Linked DNA regions of Caenorhabditis elegans. The protein of the gene in region 1 purifies or fractionates together with the protein of each later gene. This does not show direct contact. Each region holds a gene or a part of one and is shown on either strand. Other genes may lie near its edges. The genes, in order: crtc-1 and crh-1.

Region 1 (7,970 bases):
TGACAGGTAATCTGAAATAATAAAAATAAAAATGTTTATATTACCTAACTTTATTTTTAGTTGTCTAGAACACTGCTAAACTTCTGCCATATATCAGGTTTTCTAGGCCACGGCCACGTTTTTACCAAATTTTTTACATAAAATTTAAATTATATGTTGCGAAAATGTTAAATATCTAGACTTGCTGAGAAAACCCTATAATTTCAATCTTTTTGTAGTTTTTGTTATTTTTCCGGCAAAAAAAAAAACTAAATCTCTCCTAAATTTAGCGCTGAGCACTTCCCGAAATAAGTGGTAAACGTCTCTCTCACTCATTTCGGAGCGACACACACACACACAACGCCCTTAGCCTTATCACATGCTCTTTTTTGTCTTTTTCTCTAAGTCTCTCACCGGCCACCACCATCTATTCTCTCTCTCTCTCTCTTTCTGCTTTTTTTTTCTTCTTTTTTTATGTATGTGTCAGCTTCCTTGATTTCCTCTTTTTTCAGCCAATTTCCAGCTTATTTTTAGATTTTTTTAATTGCCACGTGGCAATTGCTCTTTTGTATAGCTTTTAAAAAGTTAAAATTTTCAAAAAAAAATTATTGATGAGTCATTTATTTAAATTTGTGTTGAAATATTTTGTTCCGTTAATTTTTTTCAAAAAAATTGTACACGTGGAGTACACGAGCCTTTTTCAAGTTTTCTGAAAAAAATTTTGGCGGGAATTCAAATCTTCTGAGAAAAATTTTGGCGGGATTTCAAAAAAATTTTCTGAAAAAAATTGAATTTCTAGGCCACGTAGAAAAACTGATGGCCTAACTTATCATTAATCCTAGGCCACAAAGAAATCTGACCTAACTTCTATGTATTCTCGGCCATATTGTGCAAAAACCTATTTTCCAGGCTAAACTTTTCTTGGTCACGAGGGAAAATCTCAGGGACCTCTCAACTAATAGCCTAACTTCCCAAAATCAACCAGTTTTTGGTGGCCGAAGTTTTCAAATTGTTCTGCCACTTGGGAAAATTAAAGAAAATATTGATGACCTAACTTTCCCTAAACCTAGGCCACCAGAAAAAATCTTCTCTAATTTTAGAATAAGTTTCCAAAAGTCGAACTTTCGAAATTTATCTGCCACATCTAGATTTTCTAAATTAGTTTGCCTCTTTTTCAGGTGGCCTAACTTTTCCTAAAACTAGGCTACAGGGAAAACTCAAAGGCCATCTTTCCAGGTGGCCTAATTTTTCAACTTCTTAGGCCACAAGGAAAAATCTTCTATATTTTTTAACCCTGGGTCGAACTTTTCCACTTACTCCATGCCTAACTTGATAAAATCCCAGGTAACGGGGTTCTGGCCTTCCTCATTGAATTTTTCGCGCTCCATTGCCAATCGCCCGCCGGACTGGGAAAGTCGTGTACTCCACACGGACAAATACATTTAGTTTTACAACTAAAATGAAGCTACGACGCGCTGTAAATCTACTCCAGATATGGCCGAGCAAAAATGGCCTAGTTCGGCAAAAACTCTTCCATTTAAATTTATGAGAAAATCCATGCCAGGTCACGTGGGGATACCGTTGATGTTCCTGATGGCCTAATTTTCCAAAATACTAGGCCATAAGAAGATAGTGGCCGAACTTTTAAATTTTATCGGTCACGCTGCTCTCCTCGGCAAAATGAAATTTTCTCGCAATGCAATGTTTCCCAAATTTCCCCCATACTACTCTCGACACATTTTCCGATTTTAGATATATATATATATATCCTTGTGTGCATGTGTGTCTAATCTCTGAAAGTGCTCTCTCTCTCTCAAGGCTTCTCCTCCACCCTCACCTCCTCCTTCAGCTCTCGGATTTCATTTTCATTTTCTGATCTTTTCCCGTCTCTCTCTCCCTTGCTCGTTTTATTTTACTCATTTCAATCACCTGCAGGAAAAACATCGAAACATTTGAATTCTCCATCTGAAATTTCCCCCAAGTATAGCGGAAATAGACCGACGAAATCGCTCTCTCCCTGGGAGCGATGCGAATGTCAAATTCGAATACACCACGCAAGTTCAGTGAGAAGATTGCAATACTCGAGAGGAAACAGAATGAGGAGAATACAACGTTTGAGGATATTATGCGACAGGTTTGGAAATTAGCTATATATATATATATATATATATATAATGCAAAATTTGTTTTTCTAAATTGCGTTTTTATTTGAAAATTTAACATTTGTTGAGAACTAACAAAAAATTAGTAAAAATAATTTTTTGGGCGAAACTAAAGAAATTTAACAGTTGTACCAGGGGTGGGCGCAACTGCCGTTCGGCAAATTGCCGGTTTGCCGTTTGCCGGTTACCAGATTTGCCGGAAATATTTAGAGGGATTTTTTATAAGACGGAAAAATCTAAAAACGTTTTCTTTAGATATTTTCATATAATATGCTTACTTTTCAAAATAGATGTAGGAACATTCATAGGATGCGTTTAATTTTGCCATTTGAAATTGAAATTCTGAAATTTCCAAAAAATAGTGCGAAACCACAATTTGCCGAAAATTTTCGGCAAATTACCGTTATTCTGGCGAATTCGGGAAATCGGTAATTTGCCGGTTTGCCGATTTGCCGGAAATGTTTAATTCCGGCAATTTGCCGATTTGCCGGAAAAAATCGTTTGCCACCCGCCCCTGACAAGTTATACTCGAAGAATTTTTTTTTTTCAACTTTTTCATAAACTCATCAAAGTCATGACTTTCAATTTTTTAGTATCAAAAGCGGATAATAGTTACTTGAAAAATATAATTGTCTCGAATCGAATAATTAATCGAAAAATTGGAAATGTCTACTGAAATAGCGCCAATTGTTTCAAAACATTAAAAAAAAAAACTAAAATAAAAAAAAATTCTAAATTTTATATGAGTTTTTGAAAATAGGCAAAATCTCCGTTTTTGCCACTTTTTTGGAAGTCGTAGATCAATAAAATTTTTATTTCATTTTTATAGTCTACTTGTGCTTCAAACATTAATATTTTCAAATTTTCGGCAATCGACAATTCCGGTAATTGCCGGTTTTGTTACTTTCCGGCAATCGGCAATTTCGTCGATTGTTGGTTTTGGAAATTTTCGGCAACCGGTAAGTTTGGAAATTTCCGGTTTTGGAAATTTTTGCCAATTGCCAAAAATGATAATTTCCGGCAATTTCTGGAATTGCCGGTTTTGGAAATATCCGGCAATTTCGGCAATTCCGGCAATTGTTGGTTTTATGGATTTTTGGCAATTTTTGGCAATTTCGGCAATTGCAGAAAATTGAAATTTCTGACTATTTCGGCCATTTCGGTAATTGCCGTGTTTATGAATTTTTGGGCAATTTCGGCAATTGCCGGTTTTCAAAATTTTTCGCAATGACAATGGCCGTAAAAATGTTAAGTAGCAAGATGCCAATATTTTTCTATTCAGGTGCAATCAATCACCCATCATCCGACGGATTCATCAGGATCATCGACGGCAACTGCACCAATGCCCATTCCGCAACAGGTAAGGCGAATCTACAAAAGTGAAAATAATTGTGGAAATATAGAAACATATTTTTTCTGTTTGAAAATAACATCCATTTTCATCGAAACACTTGAAAAATATCTCAAAAACTGCCTGAAACTTTCCAAAGAATTTGCCTTTTTTTTTTAGAAATTTTCAGAACGTCTCATTACGGAATTTGGTAGTTTTGTATCATTTTAGGTCTAAAAAAGCAAAGTCTCAAATTTCGGTACTCCACCTTTAAAATCAAAATGTTACAATTATTCAAATGTTAGTATAAACTATTGAATGAACATATTCCAGGGTCTCCTTCCACCTCAACAACCATGGGGTCACAATCTCGGAGGATCCCTGCCGAACGTCCATCAAATGCCATCCTACTCTCCACCACAATGGCCACCAAATTGGCAGCACGAGATTCAACACAGACCTATCGTAAGTTTTTTTCCTAATTGTAAATCTCTTCAGCAACGAACTCCATTACAGCAAGGACATCGAAGTCGATCACCAGAGGATCACATGATCGGAAGTGCATCTGGATCACCATCACATCACTATCATCCGTATGGAATGAGATCGAATGGATTATCACGATCGCCCGATCGAACGCCTCCCCAACACCCGCAGTATACGCCCTATGGACCCCCGTATAACCAACCTGGACAGCTTGTGCCGCCCGAGTCGTGGAATCAGTGAGTTTTTGAATTTTGATAAATATTTAAAAACTGAGTTTTTTTTCTCTAAAAATCAGCGTCAGCGAGAAGTTTTTTTTTTAATTTCAAATGCAAATTTTTGCGAACTACATTTTTATACTTTAATTTTGCCTTAATTATTCGTATTAAAACATTGTATTTTTTCTTTATCGATTTGAATCTTTGACAACAAACGGGATATTATAAAACGTTTATAAATAGTTGAAAATTGTTTTTTGAGTAGACAGTTTTTTGTCAAATAACTGGTTTTGGAATTACAATCCAAAATTTGGACTTTTTCAAAACGTGTACCTAGCACACTTCCAATGGCCGTCGTAGCTCAGAAATGGGTATAGATGAAACAAGGTGGCCAAATTTTTTGAAATTTTTTTATTTACTGTCAAAAGGTGGCAATTACTATTTTTACATTCAAAAATCCAAAAAAAAAACCAAAAAATATTGATGCTTGAGTTTATTTTTAATGGGTTTATTCAAATAATGTTGCAAAATGTATTAACATACATGTTTTAATGGATTCTGATACAGTTGTGACGTAATTTTTCTACATTTCAATTTTCCGACACTACTTGAATAACCCTACTAATAGAGAATAGTCACGAGTCGAGACTCGACACGGCAAACATTTTTTGGATTTTTTGGACTAAAAAAAAACCAAAAAATCAATTTTTAGATTTTTCGAATTAATTTTTCGCAAAAAAAAACCAAAAAAACCCTGCTTTGCATGTTTCTAAAGTTACAGCCGTTCAAAATTTAAAAACTCATTTTTGCAAATATTTTTCATCACTTTAATGACACCAATACGCAATGACTGAGTCTGTAATTTCACATAGTAATTTAACTAACAAAACAAAGTTTTGGAAAAAAATTCCGAACCAATTTTTTTGATATTCGATTCAATATTTATTTGACATTTCACAGCCTTTTTCACGAAAAAAAAACCATTTTTCTACCTAAATTACCCGTATCCGAAAGTCGGGCAGTCTTGTTGCAAATATTCGCTGAATTTAATCCTTTAATATATATATTCGAAAAATCAGAGCCAATTTTTGACCTTGCAGAATCAATCGTGCACGTTCGGATCCTGCAATTCATAACATGGGCGGTATGGTTCCAATGCATCCACATCACCATCAACAACAACAAATGGCATTTCATCAAATGCCTCATTATCTTCAAAATTCGATGCCTGGACCATCTGGAATGATGGCTCCGAACAGTCAATCACAACAACACTCACCTCAGTTAACACCTCAAGGATCGCAGCAAGGATCACCGGTTCAGATGCATCATCAGATACCTCCACCATTACAAATGGGCAATAACCAACAAATGGGCGGAGGCAATAATGGAATGTCACCGTTACAATCACCTAATCATATGATGACACCTATGTATGGGTGAGTTGGTTGCAAAGTTTAAGTGGCCCGGGGATATAAAGTTGGAGATTTGAACCACAAAAAATGCGGGATTTTTTCCCCAGAAAATAGTGACGTCAGCACGTTCTTAAGCATGCGAAATCAGTTGAGAACTCTGCGTCTCACCTCCCGCATTTTTCGAAGATCAAAGCTAAATGGGACTTTCTAACTCCACGTGGTTGCAAAGTTTACGTGGCCGTGGCGTGGTGGCCGAGTGGCCGAGTTTTCCAACCAAACTTTTTGAGCAATTACCCGTAAAATTACGATTTCAGCATCTAATTTTAAGTGCCGACCAGCAAAAATCTTTTTAAAAAATCAGCCACCAATTTTTTACACAGACACTTTGCACGGGGTTCTTTCTTTCCTCATTAATACTTTTTTGGAGTTTCTATGCCATCAAAAGTTTTTAGGCCATGTTGAAATTTCTAGGCCGTCCCATATTTCTAAACTTTTCTGTACTTCCTAGGCCACCTTTCAATTTTCCAGGCTCCTAAAATATTATTTTTCACGGGCTCCGGCCTTCCTCACTGAATTTTTCGCGCTCCATTGACAATCGCCTGCCGGACTGGGAAAGTCGTGTACTCCACACGGACAAATACATTTAGTTTTACAACTAAAATCGAGCCGCGACGCGACACGCAACGCGCCGTAAATCTACCCCGGCCGTGCCCGAGCTAAAATGGCCTAGTTCGGCAAAAACTCTTCCATTTCAAGTTTTGCAAAATTTTTACAAAATTGTGTTATATTCGTAAAATTTCCAATGGGACTGATATCAGCAGTTTCGTTTGAAATTGCCACGTGGCCGAGTTTCCCTATTTCGGGGCCTATTTCCGGATTTTTTAGAACACACCAATAACTGCTACGTGGCCGAGTTTTCTCTTGTAGCAAATATGCCCGGCCACGTAAATTTTCGAATAAAAAATAACAGAATTCAGTAATTTGGGCGATTTTCTCGAATGAAAACCTTTAAAAAAAGTAGATTTTCGGTTTTTTTTTTCTGGCTTCCCTCATAAATTGAAATGGAAGAGTTTTTGCCGAACTAGGCCAGGCCATATTTGGGGTAGATTTACGGCGCGTTGCGTGTCGCGTCGCGGCTCGATTTTAGTTGTAAAACTAAATGCATTTGTCCGTGTGGAGTACACGACTTTCCCACGCGTTGTCCGGCAGAAGATTTCCAATGGAGCGCGAAAAATTCAATGAGGAAGGCCAGAACCCCGTGTGCAACGTGGCCGAGCTTTTTTCAAGGCCGCGTGGCCTATTTGTTTATGAAATCTGAAAAAAAAAAAATTTTTGGCCGGCAATTTTTTTTTTTGGAAAATCTATCTATCTGGTTTTTTTTCAAATTTTTCATCATGCCCGAGTTTTCAGTTTTTGCGGAATTTAAAAAACCTTTCTCATTGAATTTTTCGCGCTCCATTGACAATCGGCTTCGGGAAACGCGTGGGAAAGTCGTGTACTCCACAATGACACTGAAACCGAGCCGCGACGCGACACGCAGCGCGCCGTAAACCTACCCAAGATATGGCCTGGCCTAGTCCGCCAAAAACTCTTCCATTTCAAAATATGAGGGAAACCTAAAAAATGACACTTTTTCAAACGATAATCCGCATACTTTCCAGGTATCATAATGGCTCACCACTCCATTCACCGATGGATTCACCCCATGCCTCAACATTAATGCTCGATGGATCAGGGACACCCTCTCCGTATATGGAAGTAAGTCCTCCCGGAATGCATGATTTCAATCAAGATGCCGGAAGTTTACCCAATCTTCAAAATGTGCAACAGCAGCAGCAACAGCAACAGGAAATTTATACAAACGGGGGAGCCCCTGGTGGTGGATACTATCATGCTCCAATTGGACCAAGACATAGTACAGGTGCATGTGGTCCGAGGCTAGTACCCGGTCCAGCGTTGACACCCGAATCACAGTCGGCGCCGACGTCACCGCATAATCAATTGGATCCGAATCAACCGCCCATGTGGCCGACGAGAACATTCTCCAATTCACCGGAGGCATTGGATATTCCGAAATTGACAATTACAAATGCTGAAGGTGCACCTGGGCATCATGTTGATTCGTATAATGATTTTAATGTAGGTTGTATTGAATTTTCACGTGGTGTCAGATTGCCTCATTTCGGCTTGATCTACGTAGATCTACAAAAAAGGCGGGAATTTAAACGCAGAGTTCTGACGTCACATTTTTTTTGAGCTAAAATTTCCCGCATTTTTTCTAGATCAAACCGTAATGGAACAGCCCCTCACGTGGTGGCAGGCTGTCCCTTTACGGTTTGATCTACAAAAAATGCGGGATTTTTTTTGCCCAAAAAATGTGACG
Region 2 (5,000 bases), on another chromosome or scaffold:
CAAAAACAATTTGGCGCTTGAAAAAAATGCCCATCTCGGATGTTTTCTACAATTCTGCAAAATCGGAAATAACCGATTTCAGGAATTGTTGGATATAAATTATTACTATTAATATACTATTGGCAAAATTGCCAATTTCGAATCTTTCGGAAAATCGGCAATTGTGGAACCTACAGACTGATTCGACGATCGTTTGAAAAAAGGCAACTTCTGATTTGTTCGACAAACTTGGCCACTCTTTTTAAGTTTTAAAATATTCGGTGAACTGCAAGTTGTTTAATAGCCGAATTCTAAAACAACACTGTTGCCAATCAATATATTTATTTCCCAGAACCCATATCCCCCAACAAAACACAAATTGCGGTCAACTCTATCCAAAGAGCAACATACTCTTTTTTTTTCTCTCTGAAAAGAGGTAGAGGACAACAAGTTGTGGGTGGTGGTGAGATATCTCTTCGTCTTCCGCTCTCTTCAATATCTCACTGAATTACTCGAGTAGAGAGCTGGTGGTGGTGGGGGCGGAGTCAGCAGCCATTACCACCCCCACCTCAAAAGAGGGGGGGGGGGGGAGGAAAAGAAATCTGATATGGACCGTTTTCCCTCCATTTCTCTTCTTTTTTTCAACATCATCATCATCATCTTGAAGGTGGTTCTTGTGCCCCTCTCTCTGTGTATGTGTGTGTGTGTATGTGTGTGCTTGATTTAATTAGAAATGAGCACCCGACCTCCACCCTCAGAACATTGGTTTTAGGTCGTCTCTTCTCTGAATACTAAGCAGATTAGCAGCAGAGAGTCTTTCTGTGCTATTGGATGTTTTGTAATCAGCACAACTTCATAGACTTCATAGATCTTTTTCTATAGTTTCCAAAGTTTGGTTTAAAGAGAATCTCACACCTCTCTTGGAATTTGAGTTTTTTATACAACTTTAAAGGTGGTTTAGTCGAATTTTTTTCATTGCCTTATTAGACTCAAAATTGTCTGAAAACACCGAATTTCATAATGAAGCATCTTGAAAACTTTTCATAAAAAAGTTATGACGGCTCAAAAAATGGCCTAAAATTAGTTAAAATTTGGAATTTGACCAACTTATCAATGTCGCAGCGGCAACATTTTTTTTTGAAATCACCGTTAAATTTTAAGTATACAAGTTGATTATCTTGCGTTTTAAACTTGATTAAGGTTTTTAAAAATCGATGGACGGCGAAACTTTTAATTTTTTAAATCCAAAACTCGCCGTCCATCGACTTTTAAATACCTTAATTAAGTTTAAAACGCAAGATAATCAACTTGTATACTCAAAATTTAACGGTAATTTCAAAAAAAATTGTTTCCAGCCGCTACGACATTGAGAAGTTGGTCAAATTTCCGATTTTAACTAATTTAGGCCATTTTTTGAGCCGTCATAACTTTTTTCTGAAAAGTTTTCAAGAAGTTTCATTATGAAATTCGGTGTTTTCAGACAATTTTGAATCTAATAAGGCAATAAAAAAATTCGACTACACCACCTTTAACCCCGCCCACTTCCTGGTTATTTCGCAGACTTTCTTCCATATTGAGCTATTCTGAATATAAATTTTGGAATTTTTTCTGAACTAGTTTGGATTTTGCGGTGTCAATTAAAGTTTTTTTGTAAAATCACTTTACTGATACTACCGACATTAAGACTATGACCTTGGGATCCTACTAAAGATATCATAATCACTAATTAGACGTTAATCCTTTATAGCAAACATCTAAATGATCAAACTATGATCTTTCAACATTCCCACGATGCCTTGCATTTTTCTCATGTAAGGAGTATGAAGCTTCTCACGTGGCAACTGCAGATCAACAAGCTTTGTTTTGCCAAATATTCACAAATTTGTAGGTACCCGCGGTGATTCATGATGGGACAATTTATATTAGAAATTTATAAGATCAGAATAGTCAGTCAGACACATTTATTCTCGAAATTAATATTCCATTCTTTTTTATCGTTCCTCTTCAATGATTTTTCACATCTCTCCGCTTCATTACCTCCTCTTATTGATCTTTCAACAAAAAAAAAACTTCTCGCACGAGCTTCAGAGGGCGCCACGTCTTCGTCTTCACCACTTCCACCGGCGTCGACGGCGACGCTCTCCGCGTTCCGACCGCCGGCAAGAATGATTCCGCCGCCGGTGGTTCTTCCACAGCAATATGCGCCACTGCCGGGCTTCACACCACTTTTGCCAGCTCAAGCAATGATGGCGAATTTCCCGCCAAATGCGCTCTACCAGTTAGGCACCCCACCGTTCGAGAATGGAAATAATCGGATTCGGTTCAAAGATGCTGCCATGGTCGTTCTGAGCAGACTATCATTTAATCAGAGAAGGTTAGATAATGCACATCAATGAGTCATGGTATTCTCATTAGCGTGAAATTTGAACACATGGGAATTAAAATATTCAAACCCCAAACCATAAGTACTAATCCTCTCGAAAGTTACCTACAAAAATCGTGCTTTTGTATTCAAACAAATAAGTATATATACATATATATATATATCTGCGTTGCGTTATTGACCATATTTATATAAAATGTTATTCAACCTCTGAATTTACATATTACTACGTTTTTAACACAATTATCAACTTAAACGTTCTCAAACTGTGAAAAAGGTTCGGAAGTAGTTTGAGGCCTATTAAAAAGTGTTACTACTTAGTTGATCACTGATATAATTAAAATATTATCCCAAACTTGAGGTTTTTTTGAAAAGGACACATAAATCACTAGTATTTTATCAATTACTCAATAAGAATCTCTGCTGAGCCTAGACCTAGCTAGCAGCCGAGCCTAGCTGCTAAGCCTAGGCATATCGATCAGTTTAGAAAACCAATTGCGACCCGGTTGCTCGTGTCAAACGAGCTCCCATTTCCGTTCCCCCGAAGATAATCGGTTGACCCACCACATTCGAGTTGCTCCGGAGTCCGGATATCCTTCCGGAACACCTTCAACATCTATTGTTAGTGCTCTCCGGGCTCTGCGGAAAAACACGTCGTCGTCGTCAATCAAACGTCATTGACCTCGAAAAGACATTTGGGTTCTCGCCGCTTGGTGCATAAATAAAAAATTTCACACACACTATGATGTGAGCATTTTCGAGTTTTTGTATCAAAATGACGCACTTTTGAGTCAGTTAAAGCCGATTTGAAGCCGCTGTGATGAACTGAACGAAATTAAAACATATAGAATACAAAATGATTACAACAATCAGTCAGAAGTGTGAATAATAATGCTATATAGTAAAGGATAATATAATTTTATATAGATTTTTATTAAAAAATGCAATAAAACATATTAGACATGCCGTACTAATAGAGGAGTACAAGTAATTTAGAAAACTATTGAATTTTCATCGAAATGGTTCTCTCTGGTTTTTAAACTGAAATGATTTTTATCGAAAAATAAAGAATTTGAAATTTCAGCGTTTTTTAAAGGCGCATAGGCGAAAAACGCAAAATTTAGCAGCTGAGTATTATTCAACCCATTATATTCAACCCAGGGATGGGCTACAAAGGATTTTTTTTCCGGAAAATCGGCAACTTGCCGGAATTGAAATTTCTGGCAAAACGGCACATTGTCGGAATTTAAATTTGTGGAAAATCGGCACATTGCCGGAATTTAAATTTGTGGAAAATCGGCAAATTGCCGGCAATTAAGATTTCCCGCAATTTGCCGAATCGCCGAATTTGTCGACAAAAAAATTTGTGAATTTCAAAATTGCCCATCTTGCTAATATTTATTCGTCACTCATAAAGTAATTAAAATTCTATTTTTAAAAATTTCTCTCTCATCGCGACGTAAGAAAACAAGACACAAGGTGTTGTACCTGATGACGTCACTGATCATTTTCGTTCATTTTTATCAGCGATTATCAGTTTCTCCACCGTCTTTTTTTGCCACCCCGCTGACGTCATAGTTTACTCCTTTTTCCTTCAGCGGCGCGGCACTGCAAGAGATGCGAATTTAAGTTTTTTTGTTTTGAGTATTATGCTTTTGATGGCTGAAAATGTCGACGAGCTTGTTGTCCAGGTAGGGTGATAGTGATTGAAATTTTTTAGGTTCTCATTTGAAATATTAAAGTGTTAAAAATAATAAAATCAATAATTTCAGCATGATCCTCAAAGATCTAGAAACGGCGGATAAGGTGATGAAGAAGGAGCCGGAGGAGACGCCGCCGTCCAGTGTAGATGCTTCACCATTACAGGTAATAAGGATAGTCTAGAGCAGGGGTGCGCTGGGATATTTCGGCATTTTCTGGGTTTTGAAATTTTTAAAAATTAGAAATTTCGGAATTTGATGGTGTTTTTAAAATGATATATATATATCATTTACTATATATAAAGCGCTTATTCCGTTTGTCCATAGTTTGTAGTCTATGTAGTTTTTGTAGTCTGTGAAGTTTTAGCTTCTGGAGGGATAGTGAGTTGGGCTTAGTGTAGGGATATAGTCGGGGTACTGTAGTGGTACAATAATGGTACAGTAGGAATACTGTAGGGTTACGGTAGTTTCAGAAAAAATATTTTTCAGCCCCAGAAGCCGGGGGGCTTCCATGGTAGGCAGGCTCGGTTTCAGGGCCTGCCTGAAACCTGCCCGCCAGCCTTTCGCCTATTTTCTGCACTTTGACGTGAATTTTCAAATTTGCAAATTTCTATTAATTTGTTAAAAATCAAATTAAGAAAGGAAAACAATGTGCATTGTTGTGAGGCGAGAGGCATGCCAAGGCCAGGCAGGCAGGCGTTCTAGCGCCTACCTAGTTAGTTGCCTTTGAGAGTTTTGAACTAGAAAAAAGTTGGTCAGAAAAAAAAATTCCTGACTTTTTTTTTGAATGAAACCTTAAATTGTAGAAATTGAAGGACTAAACAAGCACGTAAATATACAACACTAACTTAATTTTTTTGTTTTAAATTTAAATTCCATGCCTACGGGTTTCCGTGGAACGATTAAAACATAGGGAATTAATATGAAAAAAAAACACT

Evidence for each region.
Region 2: the proteins of crtc-1 (region 1) and crh-1 purify together in Caenorhabditis elegans (affinity purification with western blotting, with the first as the bait; one study listed by BioGRID). This does not show direct contact.

What each region holds. Positions count from the first base shown.
Region 1 is NC_003279.8:2,024,402-2,032,371, forward strand, and holds the start of crtc-1 (CREB-regulated transcription coactivator 1 homolog), read left to right. Parts: upstream 1-1,914; 5' UTR 1,915-2,011; coding exon 2,012-2,113; intron 2,114-3,423; coding exon 3,424-3,501; intron 3,502-3,804; coding exon 3,805-3,936; intron 3,937-3,987; coding exon 3,988-4,193; intron 4,194-5,272; coding exon 5,273-5,611; intron 5,612-7,248; coding exon 7,249-7,726; intron 7,727-7,970. UniProt on the Caenorhabditis elegans protein: Transcriptional coactivator for crh-1, the homolog of vertebrate transcription factor CREB1. Regulates the transcription of metabolic genes and may have a role in mitochondrial dynamics and metabolism. Involved in modulation of lifespan.
Region 2 is NC_003281.10:11,681,076-11,686,075, forward strand, and holds the start of crh-1 (CREB homolog crh-1), read left to right. Parts: upstream 1-1,886; coding exon 1,887-2,353; intron 2,354-4,134; coding exon 4,135-4,228; intron 4,229-5,000. UniProt on the Caenorhabditis elegans protein: Transcription factor. Transcriptional activity probably positively regulated by phosphorylation. Modulates expression of target genes, acting by binding to regulatory cAMP response elements (CRE).